4 linked regions of the Danio rerio genome follow. The protein of the gene in region 2 binds, or shares a complex with, the protein of the main gene of each other region. Links are inferred from orthologs where the notes say so. Each region holds a gene or a part of one and is shown on either strand. Other genes may lie near its edges. The genes, in order: taf11, taf8, taf10 and taf6.

Region 1 (5,301 bases), about 35 Mb from region 2:
TCCGGACATGGCGATGACCACGTTTTGAGAGACCGATGATCCGGTGATGGACTGAATCAGCTGGAGGACAGAAAGAAATCTGTTTAACTCCAAGACAAAGAAGATGCATCGATAATCACACGCTCATGCACTATTCTGTGCTATTTTGAGGTATAATGGTGTATATAGTGCATTCAACTCACGTCTTGTACAAACAAACGAGTCAAAATGAAGTTAAAACAAGCAAAACAGTCTGCAAATCAAAGGAGTGAGCGAAATAATCTTGTTTTGCCTTTTGACACAAGATTACTCTGCTTGTTTTAATGAAAAACTCACTTCATTTTGACTCATTATTTCTGAAAATGTTTGATTCTTGTCTAGAAAACGCTTCTCGATTGAAGAATTGATTCGTTCTAACCAGTAATATTGAGCACATTTTAGCGTACAGTATAGTTACCAAACACAGACTGTGCAGTTACGCATAACTAAAGAGTCTTAGCTGGTGCTAACTCGCTTTTCAATGCAAGATAATTCAGAACGGTGGGAGTGATCTGTTTATTTGCTCCATCACAGGCTACAACTGTTCTTTCATCATCATCCACACAAAGATTTAATCAACATTAGTGTGGGCAGTTAATGATATAAAAACAGCCTGAATCATTAAAAATGATGATCTGTTTCAGTGAAATGATGCTACATGACACGCCTGCGCCTAAACTAATGCATCACTCACACTCAATATGAAAGAATTGATGGACTTCCAGCAGGGGGCGCCTGTAGACCAGCAGGAATAACATTCAGTTTCTTTTCAGCTTAGTCTCTTTATTAATCCGGGGTCGCCACAGTGGAATGAACCGACAACTTATCCAGCATATGTTTTACGCAGCGGATGCCCTTCCAGCTGCAACCCATATCTGGGAAACACTCTTACACACTCATTCACATTACATACAATTTAGCCCACCCAATTCCCCTATAGCGCGTGTGTTTGGACTGTGGGGGAAACCGGAGCACCTGAAGAAAACCCACACGAATGCCGGGAGAACATGCAAACTCCACACAGAAGCCCCAACTGAACCAGCCGAGACTCAAACCAGAGACCTTCTTGCAGGAATAACAATGCTGCCATTTTCTTTTCAGCTTTGTCCCTTTATTAATCAGGGCTCGCCACAGCGGAATGAACCGCCAACTTTTTCAGCATATGTATTCAGCAACCCATCACTGGGAAACATCCATACACACTCATTCACACACACACACACGCATACACTACAATCAGTTCCCCTATAGCGCATGTGTTTGGACTGGAGCACCTGGAGGAAACCCACGCCAACACGGGGAGAACATGCAAACTCCACACAGAAACACCAACTGACCCAGCTAAGACTCAAACCAGTGACCTTCTTACTGTGAGGCGATTATGCTACCCACTGCAACACCATGTTGCCCAATATTCACAAATTAAACTTAGGCAGACAGCCACACACTGAATAATCCAAACAGACACAATATTTACCAGCTGTAAAAGACTTTAATACTTTCTCTAAACAGATTGATCAACTCTGAATTCTTTTTAAGACCTGTTTTTAATTTAAAGACTCACTCTTTTAATAGCTGCCTTAGGGAACGCCGAGCGCCTGTACATCTCATAGCGGTTCAGCTGCTCTTCAGAGAACGATGATACTAAAACTCTGAAACACAAACACGTCTATTAGTGTTATTATCAGTTTACAGCTACACACACACACACACAACACACACACACACACACACACACACACACAGCTCACTGCATCTTCTGGATTTCGTCTTCATCCACTTTGTGGCGTTTCTCCTTCTTCTTGTCGTGCGGCTCCACTTTCAGCTTTTTGGCAGGAGGAGGATGCAGAGATGAAGATCCCTCCTCCTCTTCATCACCAGCATCTTCAGCAGGCCTCTGAGGAACACAGTGATGCATGGTTGATTTATTTGCATGAGAATGAAACTGAATTCATTGAGGATGCAGAATGAAGAGGCAGAGACCTGACTGAGCGTCTTGCCCTCCTCTTTTACAGCAGTCTGTCCCGCAGCAGGGTCAGAGCTCTTACTGCTGCCCTCCGGACCCTCACTGGACCCCTCGCCCGGTTTGGGTCTGTCCACCGATGTGCCCGCTTCAGGTTTCACACGGGCCGGGTCTGCCATGATTTCAGCTGATGGATCAGGGAAAGGGAATGTGGAAATAATGGACACTGCTGTAGTGTGTTTATCTGCAACACATGAGCGGGAGTCCCTGATCCAATTACAACTGAGCACTGCAATAACACTGTTCTAACTCAGAGTGTCTGTTTCTAGTCCAAATATCTAAAATATCTCAAGAAGCCTTGCTTGTGTTTCATGATTGCAATATATATATATATATATATATATATATATATATTTTTTTTTTTTTGTAAGAATTACTCTGGATGAATACTATTGAATGTAAAAAAAAATTACAAAGATTACAAAAAGCAATTATGTAGAACAAATTGTCATATTACAAAAAAAGAGAGCAACCATTCATTACAATTTTTAAAAAATGTTTATATATATATATATATATATATATATATATATATATATATATATACATATATAATTTTAATGCACATGTATTTAATTAATTATTCTAATCAAATGATTATTTATTTGATTTTAATATTTAATTATATAATATACAATCTTTGAAAAGAGAGAGCAATTTGTTGTTGGTTTACAAAATTAAGAAAAAGATTTAAGGAACATTTAAGGGGAAAAAATGTGTAAACAGGCAACCATTGACTTATAATAGGAAAAACAAACCCTACAGAAGTCAGCGGTTACCGGCTTCTAGCATTCTTCAAAACATCTTCTTTTGTGTTCAACAGAAGAAAGAAACTCATAAAGGTTTAAAACAAGTAAAGCAAGAGTAAATGATGACAGAATTGTAATTTTAGGGTGAACTGTTGCTTACAATGTCAATACTGTCATTACAGTTTATAATTTAGTCTGTGTCTTCTATAAAACATATAGAGGTGAAGTTGGTTGTATATTCTGATATTCAGACATTCTCCTCAATATAATGTCAGAAAAGTATTGTAAATAGGGAAATGATATTAGCAGCAAATGACTATCAAAGTACAGCATTGTTCACAGTCAATTAGACAGTGTTAATGTTGTTTACAAGTCATACTTGCATGCTAATTCAGATCCAATATTCAGAGTAACATGCTAAACAATATAGAGACTGCTAAATGCACCAGTGTGCGGATATAAAACCTACTTTACCTCTAAATATCCATTAAGTCCCCATATATCATTGTTATTGATCGTAAACAACGCGATTAAACAGGGCTCTATCTAATGTGCATTAGCTGTATTAACGTTACACTCGGTCATCTTCAATGTAATGATAGTTTACTTTAGGTGAAAACGGTAACTTAACGATCATCGTAACTTACGATGCTATGTGTATTTGGGGCCGGATTTAACACTTGTTAGACAAAATAAAACCGTGAATTCATAAAAAAAATCAAAACATACCTAAGACCGACAACCGCGTTGAAAATAATGTTTAAAAACACAAAAATCCAACGAGTGTTCTCTGACGAGCGCCTCAGACCGACAAAGTAAACACGAGCATATCCGGTTAAACTACAAAATAAGAGTCCGCACAAGCGTGCACAGCCACGTCAAACACTTGGTGGCGCACAATACTATACATTAAAGCAGCGGTTCTCAGATTTCTTTCATCAAGGACCACCTCAGAAAAAATGTCTCTTCAAGAACCACCATAAGGAGCAGTACTGAAATGCAGAAGTGTAGTAGGCCCAATGAAGCAGCTCTGCACAGTTCAAAAACAAGGCAGATTAATTCCTATTAATACGAATATTTATTATTGTCAGCCACTTTAAACATTATAAATAGTTGAAACATAAACACTGTGCTTACAGTTACAAACAAACAAACAAACAAACAAACAAACAAACAAACAAACAAACAAACAAACAAACAAACAAACAAACAGGGACTAATAACTGATTTAATCCATCAAAATTCACTCGAGCTTTTAGTTTAATTGCAGAAACCCTTTAATTATTCATAATTATATATTTATTTGATAGATATTCACAAATGATTAAATCACATTTAATTATTTAAATGTACCCCTTGCATATAGTTAAAATTTTATGCTTATATTTAAATAATAATAATAATAATAGGCTAATTAATGATGTTATTTCAAATTATCCCATTTCAACTAAACGATATGTACCTAAAATGTCCATAAGGAGTATTTGTTTACTTTTTTATTTTATTAACTTGAGTAAATGTATTTTTTTATTTTTCACTGATTTGTTTGTTTGAATATATTGCCCATTTATTTATTTATTTTAATCAAATATTAATTACTTATTTGTTTCATTTTAATAATAAATATAATTTAATATATACAATGCAAATAATAGATATTTGCACTGATTATTTTAGCATGGTCAGGTTACATAAGTCAAATTGTTTCTTTTATTTTAAAATTGATTAAAATGATTTTGACTACTTGAAACCTAATTTTCAAGCCACTATTAATAACAATAATAATACGCATAATTCATACGAACTGTGGCCTCACAGCAAAAAGGTCTCTGGTTTGAGTCTCGGCTGGGTCAGTTGGTGTTTCTGTGTGGAGTTTGCATGTTCTCCCCGTGTTGGTGTGGGTTTCCTCCGGGTGCTCCGGTTTCCCCCACAGTCCAAACACATGCGCTATAGGGGAACTGATATAATGTATACAATATTGTGTAAACAGTAATTATACCCAGGGTTATTTTTATTAAAAAATGTGTGTGAATGAGTGTGTATGGATAATTTCCAGTGATGGGTTGCAGCTGTAAAGGCATCCGTTGTGTAAAACATATGCTGGAATCATTGGTGGTTCATTCCGCTGTGGCGACCCCTGATGAATAAAGTGACTAAGGCAAAGGAACATAAAAGAATGAATGAATAATAAATAAATCAGTAAATGGACATCACATTCAAACAGACGAATCAGTTTAAAATTAACAATAAAATATAGATGAAACAAAAGTAAATAAAACACTAAAATAAACATAATTACAGTATTATTATCTTGAGTAGAAAAAGATATGCAATAATATTAAAAAGTGCACATCATTATAGTGATTCAGTTTAAAGAAACTCCTGAAAAGGGCTGTAATTATTCCACAAATCCCCGATTAACAGTCACAGATTCTTCTTGTGCTAATATCAGGATACTCCACATAAAGCTTGAAGGGATATATGGCTCAGAATTAGTGATATTATTTATTA
Region 2 (5,562 bases):
TTTTTCATTTGAACTCTTCATATATTCTGTAGAGCTATAACTATAATGTTATCAATTGTTGAGCTAAACAATACACAACAACCGAATCAGGTGAGTGACACAAGCAAGACTCACTGGTGTTCTGATGTATGTATGAGGATCTGGGAAATCAGGGAAGTGGCTGGGGATGTGTGCCGGGTGAGTGCGTTTCTGTCCAGCCGTCAGAGATTTTGGTACCACCGGAGCGTTTGTTATCGGAGCTGTGAAATGCATAAGTGTTACCAATTAAAACAGGAACAGTTACAGCAGAAAAATATAAATATTTAGATATAATAGAGACCTACGTGCTGTTATAACCATTCTTTGAGATCTTTTGGCGTACACTGGAAGAGTATCCACATTAAAACCTGCGATTGTGGAAAAGTAAATCCAGGATTAGCCTAAATCTCATTAGCATGACTAAACCATGTATATATATATATATATATTAAAAAAGAAGTTGAATCTTTAATTTGTCCTAACATTGAAAGTAAACCAACCCATTTCGACGAGAGTAATGACCACATCAGACAGAGTAGGGGTGCTTCTGGCTGTGTGCTCACAGTTTGCCTTTGCGCAACGTCCAACTTCTGTTATATCTATCAAAAGACAACAAGACTCTTAAAAATCAAAAAGTACCCAATTCACCTACAGCACATGTCGTTGGACTGTGGGGGGAAACCGGAGCAAACATGAGCTCTACTTATTAAAATATATTTAAGAATAAATGGTCATACTAGACACACAAAAACATGTATTTATCCATTTATGACCTATTAATAAACTATAACTTAGCAGACAAATAAGTAAACTAGTAATCTAAATAAATAGTGAACAAGTAAAAAGATTTAAAATGACAATAATTAAAATTTTTGGGAGCTACACTTTTCTAAATACTGTATGCCTGACAAAAAAAAAAAACTTTTTTAGTGTATACAATATTAGTCTTATTGACATTTCAGTGATAATTTATTTGCTCAGATTAATATATTTTTAAATAGACACATTCTAATGTACAGAAAAGTGTAAAGTAATTGTATTGTTTTGTGAGCTTTTATTCAACTATAGCTCAATTTTGGTTCCCAAACTGTGGTTAAATTAGAACATAGAACCATAAATTACATACAAATACACACAAACGTAAAAAGTAAAACGCGATGATTTGTGATATTGGTATGCATAAGCTTTTAAATTTTGTCAAGATGAGCTGCTTAAAGTAAATGAAGGACTCACAGCTCTGCATCATCTCAGTGAGTGTCTCCACAACAGCTTTCTCAGCGCTATCAAAGCCACACTCGGTCAGCAGAGCACTGACCACCACTTGCAGCGTGCGTCTCCGAGCCAGCTGATAGTTCTCTGTGGGACTGGTGCAGGTCTTACTGCTCCCCGAGCGCTGGAAATAATAAAATAAAAGATGATAAGAAGGTTTTACAGATCAGGAAGTTTTAAAACATATCTGCATTTAATACAGCAAGGCATTTCTTTGAAAATGCAATAAAAGAGATTAAGTTAGGGCTAAATGAACTGCATTTATTTGAAATGTTTTACAATTAGTATGGTTCCTATACTGTAAGCTTCTGAGTTTTTAAAAGGTTTCAAAGTTTATTCTAAGATTAGTGTTGAAGAAAGAGGAATTGTATTTAGTGGTAATGACTAGGCCCACACGAAATCTGCGCGCGCAGATTTTCCGCAGAATTTCTGCAGATTTTTAGCCCATCATTAATTCTGTTTATTTACTTGAGTAAATGTGTAAATCTAAATTTATTCAGTTTTTATTCAGTAATTTATTACTTTTTGTTTCATATATTAAGGTTTTAGTTTTGATACTCCGCTGGATACTCCCAAAATAATTCTGCAGAAATCCGCAGATTTTTACCAAAAATCTCAGCAGAAATAGCAAAAAACATCTGCAGATTCCGTCTGGCCCTAGTTATGACTCATGAATATAAAACTTTGAAAAAATAATGGAAAAGTTAGTCATGTAATTAAGTTTTTATGAAAATCAAAACGTTTTGAGGTAGATTTACTTTACTGGAAATTACTATAACTCACATTGTGGAATCGTATGTGATTTTAAGTTAATTTCTGCTTAGTTAAGTTGGTTTTATATGGCACATTCATAAAGTGACAACTTGTGAGTCGCTATATTGTTTTCCATGCTACTTTGATTATTAAGTGTAAGGGATCAACCTATATTAAAACATTGGTCAGGGATTTATTAGGTCATTTAAAGGAACCAAATCTTGAAGATCTGAATTACTTGATTCAACTCAATTGAGTCAAACTGAATCAGATTAAAAGCTTTACCTACTAAATCTACCATTTGTCCAGCAAATAGAAGACATCGTATTTTACCAATCCTGTTTAAATTAATTCCATGGCCAACGATAACATAACAGTATTGGGTAAAATTTTAGCTAGGTAATGACTTCAAAACAACATTATCACTGCTGCTAATAGGATTTCCCTATTTAGAATTTGCAAACAACATGTTTCTGAACTTATATTATTAAGGACAAAGTCTGAATGTGTGAATATAAAGCCACCTTTACCTCAATCTTTGTTAATGTTTTTTTATTTTTTATGGATGGATCCTTAACAAAAAGTTAGGGATTTTGTAAGGCTGTGCTTATAATTACTGAGGCAAAAATGCATCTATTGCATTCATTTTTGCATCTGAGAATCTGGTTAAGATTACTATTCCACTGTGGATTGCATTAAGAGTGTGGTATTAAATTATGGTATGTAAAACTGCCCATTCCTGTCAATAATCTAGTTTACTGTTAATATATTATGCTAACCCAATTCTCCATGCACAATAACTTGTCATTATGAGTGACATTAGCATTGTTTCATAGAAAACTCCTGCTGGGAGAAAATTGAGTTTGTACAGTTGCAGTACAGTAAAGTTTGTGATTTTCGGCTTTAACAAGACGTTTACCAGTTATATAAAACACTGTTTGACGACACTGATCTGCAACAGCTCACTATATAATTGATATATATATATATATATATATATATATATATATATATATATATATATATATATATATATATATATATATATATACAGACGTGTTTACATACGATACGGTGTCTGCTTTAAAATATATTACACAAGTGCCTTTAAGTCTAATTTTGATCAAAAAACTAAAGTTAGTATTGTTTGGCTGAGCCAGCAGGGTGAAGGAAAGAGTAACGTTAGCGTTAATGAAAGGAGATATTTAACGTACGCTTCCGGAGTTTAAAGATCCGCTCCCCATCATTACCGAGTCTGCCATTTTAGAACTCTAGTGGTTTTTCCTCTGATGTTTAGCATTCGCAAATAAACTCATTGTGCGTTCTGCGTTTGCTAAAAACTGTATTTGGTGTTTTTATATTGGGCGAAAATGGCAACCCTATCAACATTTCCAACAGGGCGACCGGAAGGTTGTTGTTTTCTGTGCAATTCCAAAATAAAAGTCAAACAAAGAAATAACTGTTGCATAGCCATTTCCTAAAAATGAAAGCAAAAGTAGAAATTTGCATTTTTTGAAGTCATCGTCAATACGGTATTGTAGCATGCTCATAAAACTTTTATTAAGTTATTCTAAAGACTTCTAAATATGTTATCTTTATTTTTATTTTAATGATTTGAATAAAAGAACCATCACACACGAACTAGCTGTTAATGTTAATAGTTAAATGTCGAACATCTTACAGAAATGTCAAGTCTTTTAGATAACAAAATGTTCACATCCTTGCTTTCTACATGATTCTTTAGTAAAACGGTAAACTGACACAGAAGATTTAATTTTTAAGTTCTGACCTGAAAACGAGGTACAAAAGCTAGGTAAATCAGTTTTAATCCTAGTTTTATTATAATATTTGAATCGTGGGAGTAGACACAAACACCTCAGACCTTAATGCTACCAAATTATTATATTATTTTATGTATTTTTCATATAATTTGACATGTTAATGGGTGTCTGTGTGTTTTTATGTTCTGCGGAGCAGGAATCTGCTGAAAAACAGCATTCATGCTGAGTCAGGCCCAATTATCTTTTAATCTTTTCATGTTAAAAAATTATAAATAAATAAAAATTTTCCATGGAGAGCACAGATGATGGTTGCTTAGCAAAGGCTGATACCACAAATGCTTTGAAATGAGTGGACAAAGCGAGACAGACCAACAAGGCTTTAAAACGGATGAGGATAATAAACTTTCATCATGATGATGAACTAAAATGTCACATAAGTGCAGTAGACATGATAAAACCAAAACAATGTCTTGTCTTGAGAATATCTGAGAAAGACTGTAAAGGACCCACTTTCTTCTGGAAATAGCTCATTTGCATTTAAAGAGATGCACATTTTTTGGGTCATTTTTTTTTTTGCAGCATGACATAAAAAAATAAATGATCTGTAGCTTAATTTGAGCTGTAGCTGCACATTCTGTGGACACAGAAATGCATTACGCCTATTTATTATGAAGCAAAATTGGTCTCCTTTATTGTGTCTTAGTATATCCGGTAGATCTGCATTCTGCATATGGGGCAGAAGGTTTAGCTTAATGTGTTAAAGGTCAGATTTGCCAATCAAAATGTATCATTGTGAAGCAATCTCAAATGACAATATTTCTGTAGTAAATTTATATTTATTGATTTAAATAAATAAATATTGTGTCATTCTATTTTCTAAAGATTGGAAATCATAACAGTAATTCAAATAATTCATTTTATTGCAGCGATTGCTTTAGATGTAGGAAATAAAAAGAAGTGTAAATATAGTTGTGTGTGTATTGTGAAAAATGCTTTGCAACTATTTATCTAGGGGTATATTAATATTCTATAATCTAGATTTTGAAAAATAAATATATAACAATAATAACTAATTCTGCGGTGTTAACAGCAGCTGATTTTATGTTGTTGTCTGTAAAAACAGCTTTATCTGTACTTCTCTATGATAATATGACTTAACATATTACATTTAAAGTTTATTTAAACAGAAAAAAAAGTTATTTTTTATTTGTGTGTGTGAGGGAGGGGGTGTATTTGGTGCACATTGACATTTGCAAAGTATATTTTCCACAGCAAGGTTTAGTTGTCGGGCATTTATTTTGAAAGTCGTTTCAGCGGGCGGCCATCACGCTGGTGTCGCTATTTTCAACTGCCTCACCAGCTAAAGATTCACTCATCACGTCCATAATCGCAACACAAGATTGTCGTCTTGGTTTCCCAGCCTCGATTCCTTACTGATGAGGGACTTTCGGCCCGACTGACGCAGGGAGATGGGGGTACTCAATATTTCAGACCAGGTGAGCCATGGTAAAATCCCACGAATGGCGTAAATCAAGCAGTTTAGTGTTCGCTCTTTGCGCTTCTGTGCAGAGCCTGACATGTTAGCTAGCTGCCTGACGGTGGATTATCCAATCTTCCACACAATTCCTCGCACCAATACATGCTTCTTGTAATGCATTTGATGTGGAAAAAATAATTGTATACTGTTTATTGATGGTAGGGATATCAAAAAGGAGTTTAAATGCAAAAACAGGCTTTTTAT
Region 3 (3,999 bases), on a different chromosome or scaffold from region 2:
AATATGATGACATATAGCCTATGTTTCCAGGTGTTGATAAATAGGCTACTATGTTAATACTTTACAGGAGTTTTTTTTTTTTTTTTTTTTTACTTTTTAACAACAGTAACCTTTAATTTTTACCTTTTAAAAGCACATTTTAATTAAAATGTTGACGTTTTTAGTCAGTAGTTATGCTACTGTATTTCAATACTGGTCATTTTGGAGGTACTTGTTGAGACAATTTTTTTCTGAGGTGGTACTTGATCGATGAAAAAACTTTGAGATCCACTGAAGTATATTATGCCGTTTCTGCTCAACTAGTGCCTCCTAGTGGGATTACAAAAAATAAACTATATACAATCCTTGCAAATGCTGCTGACATTTTGTCTTATTACTATCGTATACTGACACGGCTTAACAATTGAAATGGGGTTTGGCGGTAAAGTGGCAACATGTAATGCTTTGTAACAAAGAGTTTAGCTTACCTGTGAAAAAGTCTCAAATGAAACACAGTTCAAATTCTTCTGTCTTGTAAAGCACCACCACTATTCATGTATTTTTGTATATCTTTGCGTAGTTTGGCAAGTAACTTAGTACATTTTATATCGCACTTTTAATCTCTTTTCCCAGATAACGCCTCAGACTCCGACTAGCTAATCATCCTCAGGCCCACCTGCTGCTATAGCCACGCCCCAAACTTTCGCTATTAGTCAAACTGAACAGTGATTGACAGACCCAAGTGAACAGCTTCGATATCTTGACCCATATATGACTTACTTATAATCACCGAACAATAAACCGGGATAAAATTATTTGTTTTAGCAACTTAAAAAAAATCTAGCATACTTCTTATGAATCCCCATCACCCTTTTTGTGACCTACATTGAATTCGCCTGAGAGCACATAGAGCAACTGAAAGAAGCAAAGTCAAGATCGATTCTATTCTAATAATATTCTTATATTTATATAATGTTTTCTCTGAAGACATGATGATTGGTCTCAGCTGTATTAGACTGTTGCGAGAAACTTGAGCAGGTCCTTCAGGTACTATTAATACTGCAGCACGTTACAGCTCCAGCTCCTTATGGCATGAAACTAAACCCATAAAGCGAAGATGAGAAGATCATACATGTAGTGTATGAACTTACATCACAAGCCTTACAGTGGTTAATTTAAGACTTCTTTTTACAGTATTTGATTGATTGATTTACAGTGATTGATGACCAAAACAGGAATTGTATTGTAATGAATTTATTTATACAAGATTTTTTACTGGCATCAACTAAGTCATGTGGCATAATATAACTCAGTCAGGCTTAACAAAAATACAAAAAAGCTGCTAAATCCCTAAAAGCAAGTGGGCTGATGTTTCTCATCTTGACAATTAGCACATTTCCAGCAGTCCATTAGAATGAAGCTCTCAGATGAAATAATGAGGCTTTTTAACATTTATGCCGTACTCTGCCAAAGCCGGTGTCAGATCTTCCATCGTCAGAGTGTACTTCTTGTCCTGGAAAGTGAGATGATTATAACATGTGAGATTTAAAGATCAAGTTTTTTTTTATATTGTACATATAGTCATTCTAAAATGCATTGTGCGCACAAACCTTGGCCTTGTTTCGGGAGCTTCCAGAGGCTGTGCCCTTCATTTTGCAGTGTTGTAGTGCATCGTTTGCAATATCAGAGATGAACTTCTGAGATGCCAGAGATATGAGACGAATTCTGGCAAAGAAACAAGGACATGATGTAAAGGCAGATTCATGAGGGGTTTATGAAGATATAAAAGCATGTTTTTTTATGATTAAAAAATTAACACCAACCTTTTATATTAAGATAGCATTTTCAATATTAGCTTGTTACCGACTAACAAAAATGCAATACTTTACATTAGACAAATGTGATATTTATTTCCTGTTCATACTAAGAATAATAACCATTTATTCATTTTCTTTTCGGCTAAGTCTCTTTATTAATCTGGGGTCGCCACAGCGGAATGAACTGCTAACTTATCCAGCACATGATTTACACAGTGGATGCCCTTCCAGCTACAACCCATCACTGGGAAACGTCCATACACACACATACACTCCAGACAATTTACCTTACTGAATTCACCTACAGCACATGTTTTTGGACTTATGGGGAAAACCGGAGCATAATAACCATTTAAAGGTTTACAAATTGTATAATGATGATGATGAAAACAGCCTGCCACATACACTTTTACATGCAGTGAAGTTGGACCACCCCGACCATAAACAAACATCACATAATTCAGGAGAAGACAGGTTAATGGAAGGTAGCTTTTAGAAAGAGGAAATAAAATATATTAGGGAAAAGGGAGGTGAAAAAAAAAAACCCTCTCCGACTGCCGTTGAAGTAGGGCAGTGTAAGATCAGGGGAAAGAAAGCCCCAGCACGAGCACAAAAACACATAGACATAACATCGCAACAGGTGATGGGAACAGGGGATGTGGATATAGTCCGATAAAGGCGGCAGCCATCTGGTCCTGCCCCCAGAGAGCCCCGATCAAAGACCCGTCCAACAACCCAGAAAAACGTTGGAACAACTTTTGGATAGTTTTAATTTTCCAGCTGATGAACATGACACCTAAATCGCATCTTTAAACAATTTAAGCAAAAATTCTGAGAAAATCTGAAATTATAAAATTATTACATGTTCACTTTACACATTTTATTTTACACACACTTTATTTTAAGGTACAATTCTCGCTGTTAACAACCCATTATCTAACACTTTTAGCTCAAACTACTCACTTGTTGCTTATTAATAGTTAGTAAGGTAGAAGTTGGGTTTAGGTATTGGGTAGGATTAGGGATGTAGAATAAGATCATACTTTAGAAGTACTAATAAACTGCCAATCTCTTAATAACAGGCAGCTAATAAGCCAGTAGTGAAATCGTGGAAACCGATAAATAAACTAAAGTATTAAGAGTTTTTGTTTATCTTTCATACATTTAAAGTGCTTTTATCATATTTGACCCAACAGCTTTCTGAGAGAAAGCTTTCTTATTCCGAACTCACATCCTTGGATCTGATGCTTCAAATCCAGCTCTGTTGAGATAGTATCCTGTAACTGCGTCTGGAATCTGAAGCACAGACAGTTTGTTAGCAGTACAACTCATAAAATATCATTAATAACCAAAGAATAAACTACAAATCACAAAAGGGAGCTCACTGTAGGAGTGTAATCCTCCAGCTGCATGAGGAAATCTGCCAGTGGTGTAGTTGAGATCACAGGCTTCACGTCTCCGTTGGCGATCTCTGTGGGCACATACACGCCGTTTGATACAGTGGAGTCGGAGGATGGGGTTGCCATGGAAGCCGAAGTAGACACTTTGAGGGCGGAAAGTAAGTATAACAGACAATTTAAGGCAATAAAACAACAATTGACATTACAGGCAACAATCAAAAGGCAGCTAAAACTTCTCTTTCATGAGCACTAAACTACAACCTAACAAAAAATTCTTCTTCTCATTCTTTCCTTAATCCCTCCCTACTTAAGTCTGCATTTAATAAAATTTCCATAGATTATTTTGCTAGCGCAGATTGTTAGTCTCAAAGTGAACGATTCATATGTGCAAGTTAATCCACTTAAGAGGAACAGTTTAATCTAAATCTGACCATCTGCTTCTGCTCTGTTATGGCAGTTCTTCTCTGATGACGTCAGTTTGACAGATTGGAGCAAAAGATGCTTAGCCACACCTCTTCAACCGTTAAGTTTGCCACAAGTGAAAGATGACAGGAGCACAAAAATAAAACCCGCCCACTGCTCAATATTTCAATTCAGTTGGAAATAGGTCATCACACTGAAATAAAAGTTTGCAACAACTTCCTGTTAATACAGGCATTAAAGTGGGCATTGGCTCTTTGTGATAAATCACAATACCCTTTCTCATTTGACAGTTGCTTTGGACAAAAGTTGGACAACTAAGTGTAAATAATTGAATTTATAATTAAATGTTTGTAGGTAAATGCTAAGCTCTCTGATCAGGG
Region 4 (5,427 bases), on a different chromosome or scaffold from region 2:
TGGGCACGCGCGAGTTTTAGTCAAAATACTCACACACAGGAGAAAGTGATGGTATTTACCCTACATGGACATCTGTAGTCGAATTATTAAATGGTGGACTTTAACTGCAATTTGGCTCTTTCATTCAGGGAATTCATTCATGCCCTCTTGCGACAAACGAGATATTTGATTCGAGGAACTGCTCTAAGCGTGTATTTTTCATGCAATGTTTGATACCGCACGGCGAATGAGAGAAAAAAAACTCAGCATTTTCCAGAAACTTAGATGCACACGGCAGGTAGCGTCAGAAAGCCGCGTGTGTTATTCTGGTCACAAAATGCCGTAAAAACCCTACACGAGGGTAAAGTTTGGTTGTGGTGCTAACATGTTTGCACTCGGTGCAATAGTTAACTTAGTTCGATACGAACAAACTGAATAAACAAAGAGCACTGGTCGCTCACTTACCAAATCTGTAGAGACAGGACAATCCCCAGCAACTAGAGCCGCGTCTTTATGAAGAGAATACTACAAGCGAATCCGGATCTCAGCGTTTGCAGATGAGAACAGCTCTCAGGTAAACAATAATCCTCCTTAGACACGCAAGTTATTGTTGTCGAGCGTCGCGTACACTGTTAATCCACGCGTGATCCAGATGAGCTCTCACAGAGAGAAAATGAAAACAAAACTTAACGGCAGCAAGATATAAAAGCAACACTTCACGCTTGTTTTGCCAACACAACGTGGCGTCTCTGCCGTCTGAACACTACGACAGTAATGAATATTAATAAAGTTCCACAATAGAGCGCGCTGATTGGTTTGAACCAAGCTTTACTCATGCATTAATGCATCACACTGTAAGACGTAACAAGACACACTCTGGCACAGACGCCCAGTCTGCACGCTGGAATACAACGCTATTATGTCATGACCGTGACGCAGCTTCAAAAATTCGTTTCAAACCGGAAGTACGAATTTGCTTAAAATAACGCAAAAACAACCAATTTACACTTTTTGGTGAAATATAGGTGTCCTAATAGTGTTTTTAGCAGTGTGGGACACATATACGACTGTCAACAGCTCAAAATACGTGTTTTGGTGTTTCGTGACACTTTAAAGCCCGCGCATCTCTTTCTCAAATCCCAGACTGCACAAAAGATGCCTCAAAATGAGCAAGTTTAAGCCACTTGTACATCCAGGAAGTGTTCAGGAAAAGCAAAACAGCAGAGAAGAATTTCAACACAGAGGAACATAAACACCTTACTGCCAACTAGCGTTTCGGAAGTGTTAATTCAGATCAAAAGAGACAGCGCGTAGAAGTATAAATGCACAGCTACACCCGTTGCATGCGCCGTGGGTCACGCCGGTCACTTAACGCAGAAGTTTAAACCAGGCTTTACCCAGAGATGGGTTACAGCCTAAAAGGCATCCGCTGCGTAAAATTGTGCTGGATAAGTTGGCAGTTCATTCTGCTGTGGCAACCCCGGATTAAGCCGAAAAGACTATGAATAAATGAATGAATGAATGAATGAATGAATGAATTAATTAATTAATAATCGGGTTTAAGTTTCATAGTAGCCTAATAATGTTTCAACGATTTTTTGTAGTTTGTTTTAAGAGATCTGAAAATATTAGCAAAATATATGCTGACATTATTTGCAGTTATCAAACATCTAAACGTTATGTATAAATGGGCTTAATTCAATATACTTGTGATTCAGCAAATTTCATAATGATGGGATTATTACTGATCTGTAAGCTCCATCTACTAGCCATCTTGTAGTGTGATTTACATGTACTGTATGTAGCATAATTTTGCAAAGTAAAACCATTATGATTTTACTGCATGTTTTCAAATTATACAATCTATATTTAATAAACAATTTTTCAAGCTAGCTTATATACGTTGCCTCTGTTGCCTCAATATTTATTACCAATAATGCTACTACAGTTTGTGATAAAGCAAATATTTTATGTTGTCATTTTTTTTCTTGTTTCTAGCTTAATAAAAAAGAAAGTGAAGCAATTAATATAGCTGTTCAGATATGTCAGGCCCATAGCTCGTAAGACATGGGAAATGCATTTTTCAAATGGACTTTTCTTTTTTTATTTGAAATGTGGCAGTCACTGCGCGTTCACAAAAGTGGAAATGCAATTGCAAATGTGCAACTTGCTATTACATTTGGATTGGGTCAAAATTTATGCATCCACATATTAAAAATTGTCCTGGATATCCTTCTGTAAAAAGAAATTGAATAATGTGGTCTAAGTTTAAATGTTAAAAAAGAAATAAATGTTTAAACATCTTGTCTGAATTGCCATGCTAAAAATAGATGTTTCTGTAGAAATTACCCAATTATTTTTTATAACTTGAAGAATTATGATGGTTGTTTTGGCTATTTTTAGAATAGTTGTGTCTGTGTATTTGGATTCGTTTTAAAGCTTGGAATGCAGCATAAAACTGCATGGAATCCTATTTATTTGTATTAATTAGCTTAAAATATGCATATTCTTAAGTATTTCGAGTAAGTTGCTAAATAAAAATGTATAATATTGATAACTATTTAAAGCATGTATTTTGTAAAAAAAAAAAAAAAAAAGAAAAACTTCCCAAACTTGCGTAACGCTACACTTCTTAACAGAGAACAGCTTTGCATCCTACTAGGAATCGTAAAAGTACTATAATAACTCTATAAAATGTCCAATTATTACTATGTATTATAAGATCAGTCATTTATTTACTTTCTTTTCGGCTTAGTCCCTTTATTATTAAGGGGTCGCCACAGCGGATTAAACCACGAATTTATTCAGCACATGTTTTACGCAGCTGATGCCCTTTCAGGCAACAACCCATCACTGGGAAACACCCACACTATCATTCAAACACATACACTACAGAAAATTTTACTTTACCCATTTCACCTGATTTGTGGGGGAAACCGGAGCACCCGGAGGAAATCCATGCGAACACGGGGAGAACATGCAAACTACACACAGAAATGCCAACTTAACCAGCCAAGGCTCGAACCATCGACCTTCTTGCTACTGCGCCACAGCGTTGCCCTGTTATAAATTCTCAAACTCTAAATTATAAAATAGTTTAGTATTTCTACTAGAATCAATATGAGTTTGCATTGCTTATTTGAGACCATGTAATTAACGTTACTGATCAAATACTCAGAAGTAAAGAAGTAAATAAACTACGTTGTCTGTGCGTTACCGCTACATAAACCTGCGTTGTTTATATATATATATATATATATATATATATATATATATATATATATATATATATATGTGTGTGTGTGTGTGTGTGTGTGTGTGTGTGTGTGTGTGTGTGTGTCGAAAGGCTATTAATGTACGACTGGATCATGCTTCTCTGTAATAAACGTGCACAAAAGCAAAAGTGAACAGCATGTCTTTCTTACCTTCAAAAGGAGGTTGCAGCTATGTCTATTTAAAGCTGCCGCTTTGAAAACAATAAAACAAAACGGGTAAATCCTCTGTATTATATAATACGAATTTTGTGTTTTTATTTGTTTGTTTGGTTTGTTAATACTTTGCACAGCCCATTTAGTTCCGAACCATTTTTCCGAAAATTCGCCATTTTGAATCTGCTGAAAGGTCCTAAAACAAATGTGACGTTATCGCACGTATATTTTTACAAGCTCATATTAGCGTCATGTTTTAAACACACTTTATAAAAGAATAGTTATAAATGAACGTTTTACAAATTATTCAGCAAATATTTAATGCAGAAGAAGCAGTGTATATAGGTTCATTTTTATGCATCTTTCATGACATAGACTGCCTCGGAATCGATTGCAGGGGGACTCGATTTCTCACCACACCGCCTCGCCCGAGTGGAGTAAGGGGAAGCTGCAGGCCCGGAGACCCAACTGCACGCTCAGACTAGCGCGCACAGACAGACCAGACAGTGCCCCTGCTGTTGGGTTGGGTGAAGCGGCGAGTAAGGGGAAGCTGCAGACCCCTATATGGGACATCTGCAGACTTGGATCTAGGCAGTTTTACGGCTCAGGCAATTTTACACGCCACAGTTTTACGCCGCTGTTGTTCCTAATGCGTCCAGTAGGGGGGATGGAAGATACATGGCCAAACAATACATTTGAAGTCTACTCTCCCAGATTATTAAATGTCCTGTTCATAAATACACACACACACACACACACACACACACACACACACACACACACACACACACATATATATATATATATATATATATATATATATATATATATATATATATATATATATATATATATATATATTTTTTTTTTTTTTTCATTAGATTACGCTGAATAAGAACGCTAAGTTAATTTATCAGAAAGTGAGTTATAAACTCACTAGAGAATATGCAGAACTGATACACTCACCAAACAATTTCAGCTATGCAAAAGCCCACTGGCAAATTAATTTAGATTAATCTAATAAGAAAAATTCAAAACACAAATAGTTGGAAAGTGTAATGGTTAATTGTAGCCTAGTTATACGCTTTTATATAGAGAGATGAAATTTGTTGTATTGTTTATATATAAAGTTGCATTTTGACAATAACACAATTATAACCGTACAATACAGTGTAATATGGCGTAATGATGTGCTGTGATAAGAATGCAGTGGTATTGACTACCAGACAGCTGCAGAACGTTTAGACAAACAATTTACTACTTTCTAAAATTTCAAGGACCATTTAGCTACCTGACAATCAAAAACCTAGACAACATTAGATTTTTTTTACATTTATTTATTGACAACAATATCTCTAGAGATTGCCAGTTGTCTTTAAATGAAGCTGAATCCTTGCATAAAATTCTTAATGCTCACTAAAAAAAAAAAAAATGTGTATAAATACTCTGCAAAAAATCCTTTTCTTACTTAAGAGTTTCTGATTTGGTTTTAGTCCAAATATCTAAAAATTCTTAATCCTCAGAAAAGTGAGGAATGGAAAATGAAAAGAAAAAAAAAGCATTTCATGCCATTTTACATATTATCTGGACCTATGCAAAACATATAAAAATATATTTTTTAACTTGATTTATGATTTAAGAGTTATAACTTAAGGTATAACAAATTACCAAGTCATTATTATTTAACATTTTTTGTTATTTGTTGCTACAAATTGCGATCCTGACTTTCCCATATTTAGCATATTTAATTTTTTTCTTTGTAAAAAATGGTAACAATAAATATTATGAAACAATAAGTGATAAACAATTTGAATGCATACAATGCAAACTTATATATATATATATATATATATATATATATATATATATATATATATATATATATATATATATATATATATATATAATATATATATAAAAGTATATATAATATATAAATGGTAACGTATAGCTATATGAACAAAAATTAGTACACTGTTAGACCTTATCGGGTTTTTTTTACAGTAGAATACTGGCTACA

What was found.
Region 1: taf8 (region 2) and taf11 share a complex: the UniProt entries of both Homo sapiens proteins name them as parts of the TFIID basal transcription factor complex. The link is inferred for Danio rerio from reciprocal best matches to the Homo sapiens genes TAF8 and TAF11.
Region 3: the proteins of taf8 (region 2) and taf10 are in contact, whole or in part, in a crystal structure (PDB 4WV4), measured with the Homo sapiens proteins. The link is inferred for Danio rerio from reciprocal best matches to the Homo sapiens genes TAF8 and TAF10. Residues at the interface, in NP_612639.2 of Homo sapiens: Arg33, Thr36, Leu37, Val40, Ser43, Leu44, Leu45, Ala48, Gly49, Phe50, Glu51, Ser52, Ala53, Glu54, Ala56, Ser57, Thr60, Leu61, Met64, Leu65, Gln66, Tyr68, Ile69, Ser70, Ile72, Gly73, Arg74, Ala76, Lys77, Cys80; in NP_006275.1 of Homo sapiens: Pro115, Leu116, Phe119, Leu120, Leu123, Tyr126, Thr127, Thr129, Ile130, Pro131, Val134, Thr135, Tyr137, Tyr138, Leu139, Ala142, Gly143, Phe144, Glu145, Ser147, Asp148, Arg150, Ile151, Leu154, Ile155, Leu157, Ala158, Ala159, Gln160, Lys161.
Region 4: taf8 (region 2) and taf6 share a complex: the UniProt entries of both Homo sapiens proteins name them as parts of the TFIID basal transcription factor complex. The link is inferred for Danio rerio from reciprocal best matches to the Homo sapiens genes TAF8 and TAF6.

Annotation. Positions count from the first base shown.
Region 1 is NC_133198.1:379,547-384,847, reverse strand, and holds the start of taf11 (transcription initiation factor TFIID subunit 11), read right to left. Parts: upstream 3,614-5,301; 5' UTR 3,265-3,613; intron 2,226-3,264; 5' UTR 2,161-2,225; coding exon 2,002-2,160; intron 1,916-2,001; coding exon 1,770-1,915; intron 1,671-1,769; coding exon 1,583-1,670; intron 61-1,582; coding exon 1-60. UniProt on the Homo sapiens protein: The TFIID basal transcription factor complex plays a major role in the initiation of RNA polymerase II (Pol II)-dependent transcription.
Region 2 is NC_133198.1:35,334,029-35,339,590, reverse strand, and holds the start of taf8 (transcription initiation factor TFIID subunit 8), read right to left. Parts: upstream 3,373-5,562; 5' UTR 3,303-3,372; coding exon 3,255-3,302; intron 1,412-3,254; coding exon 1,252-1,411; intron 618-1,251; coding exon 519-617; intron 387-518; coding exon 324-386; intron 240-323; coding exon 115-239; exon of another isoform or gene 1-114. UniProt on the Homo sapiens protein: The TFIID basal transcription factor complex plays a major role in the initiation of RNA polymerase II (Pol II)-dependent transcription.
Region 3 is NC_133183.1:27,708,472-27,712,470, forward strand, and holds the end of taf10 (transcription initiation factor TFIID subunit 10), read right to left. Parts: intron 3,340-3,999; coding exon 3,182-3,339; intron 3,093-3,181; coding exon 3,028-3,092; intron 1,705-3,027; coding exon 1,590-1,704; intron 1,493-1,589; coding exon 1,403-1,492; 3' UTR 1,221-1,402; downstream 1-1,220. UniProt on the Homo sapiens protein: The TFIID basal transcription factor complex plays a major role in the initiation of RNA polymerase II (Pol II)-dependent transcription.
Region 4 is NC_133180.1:58,922,347-58,927,773, reverse strand, and holds the start of taf6 (transcription initiation factor TFIID subunit 6), read right to left. Parts: upstream 3,579-5,427; 5' UTR 3,405-3,578; intron 1-3,404. UniProt on the Homo sapiens protein: The TFIID basal transcription factor complex plays a major role in the initiation of RNA polymerase II (Pol II)-dependent transcription.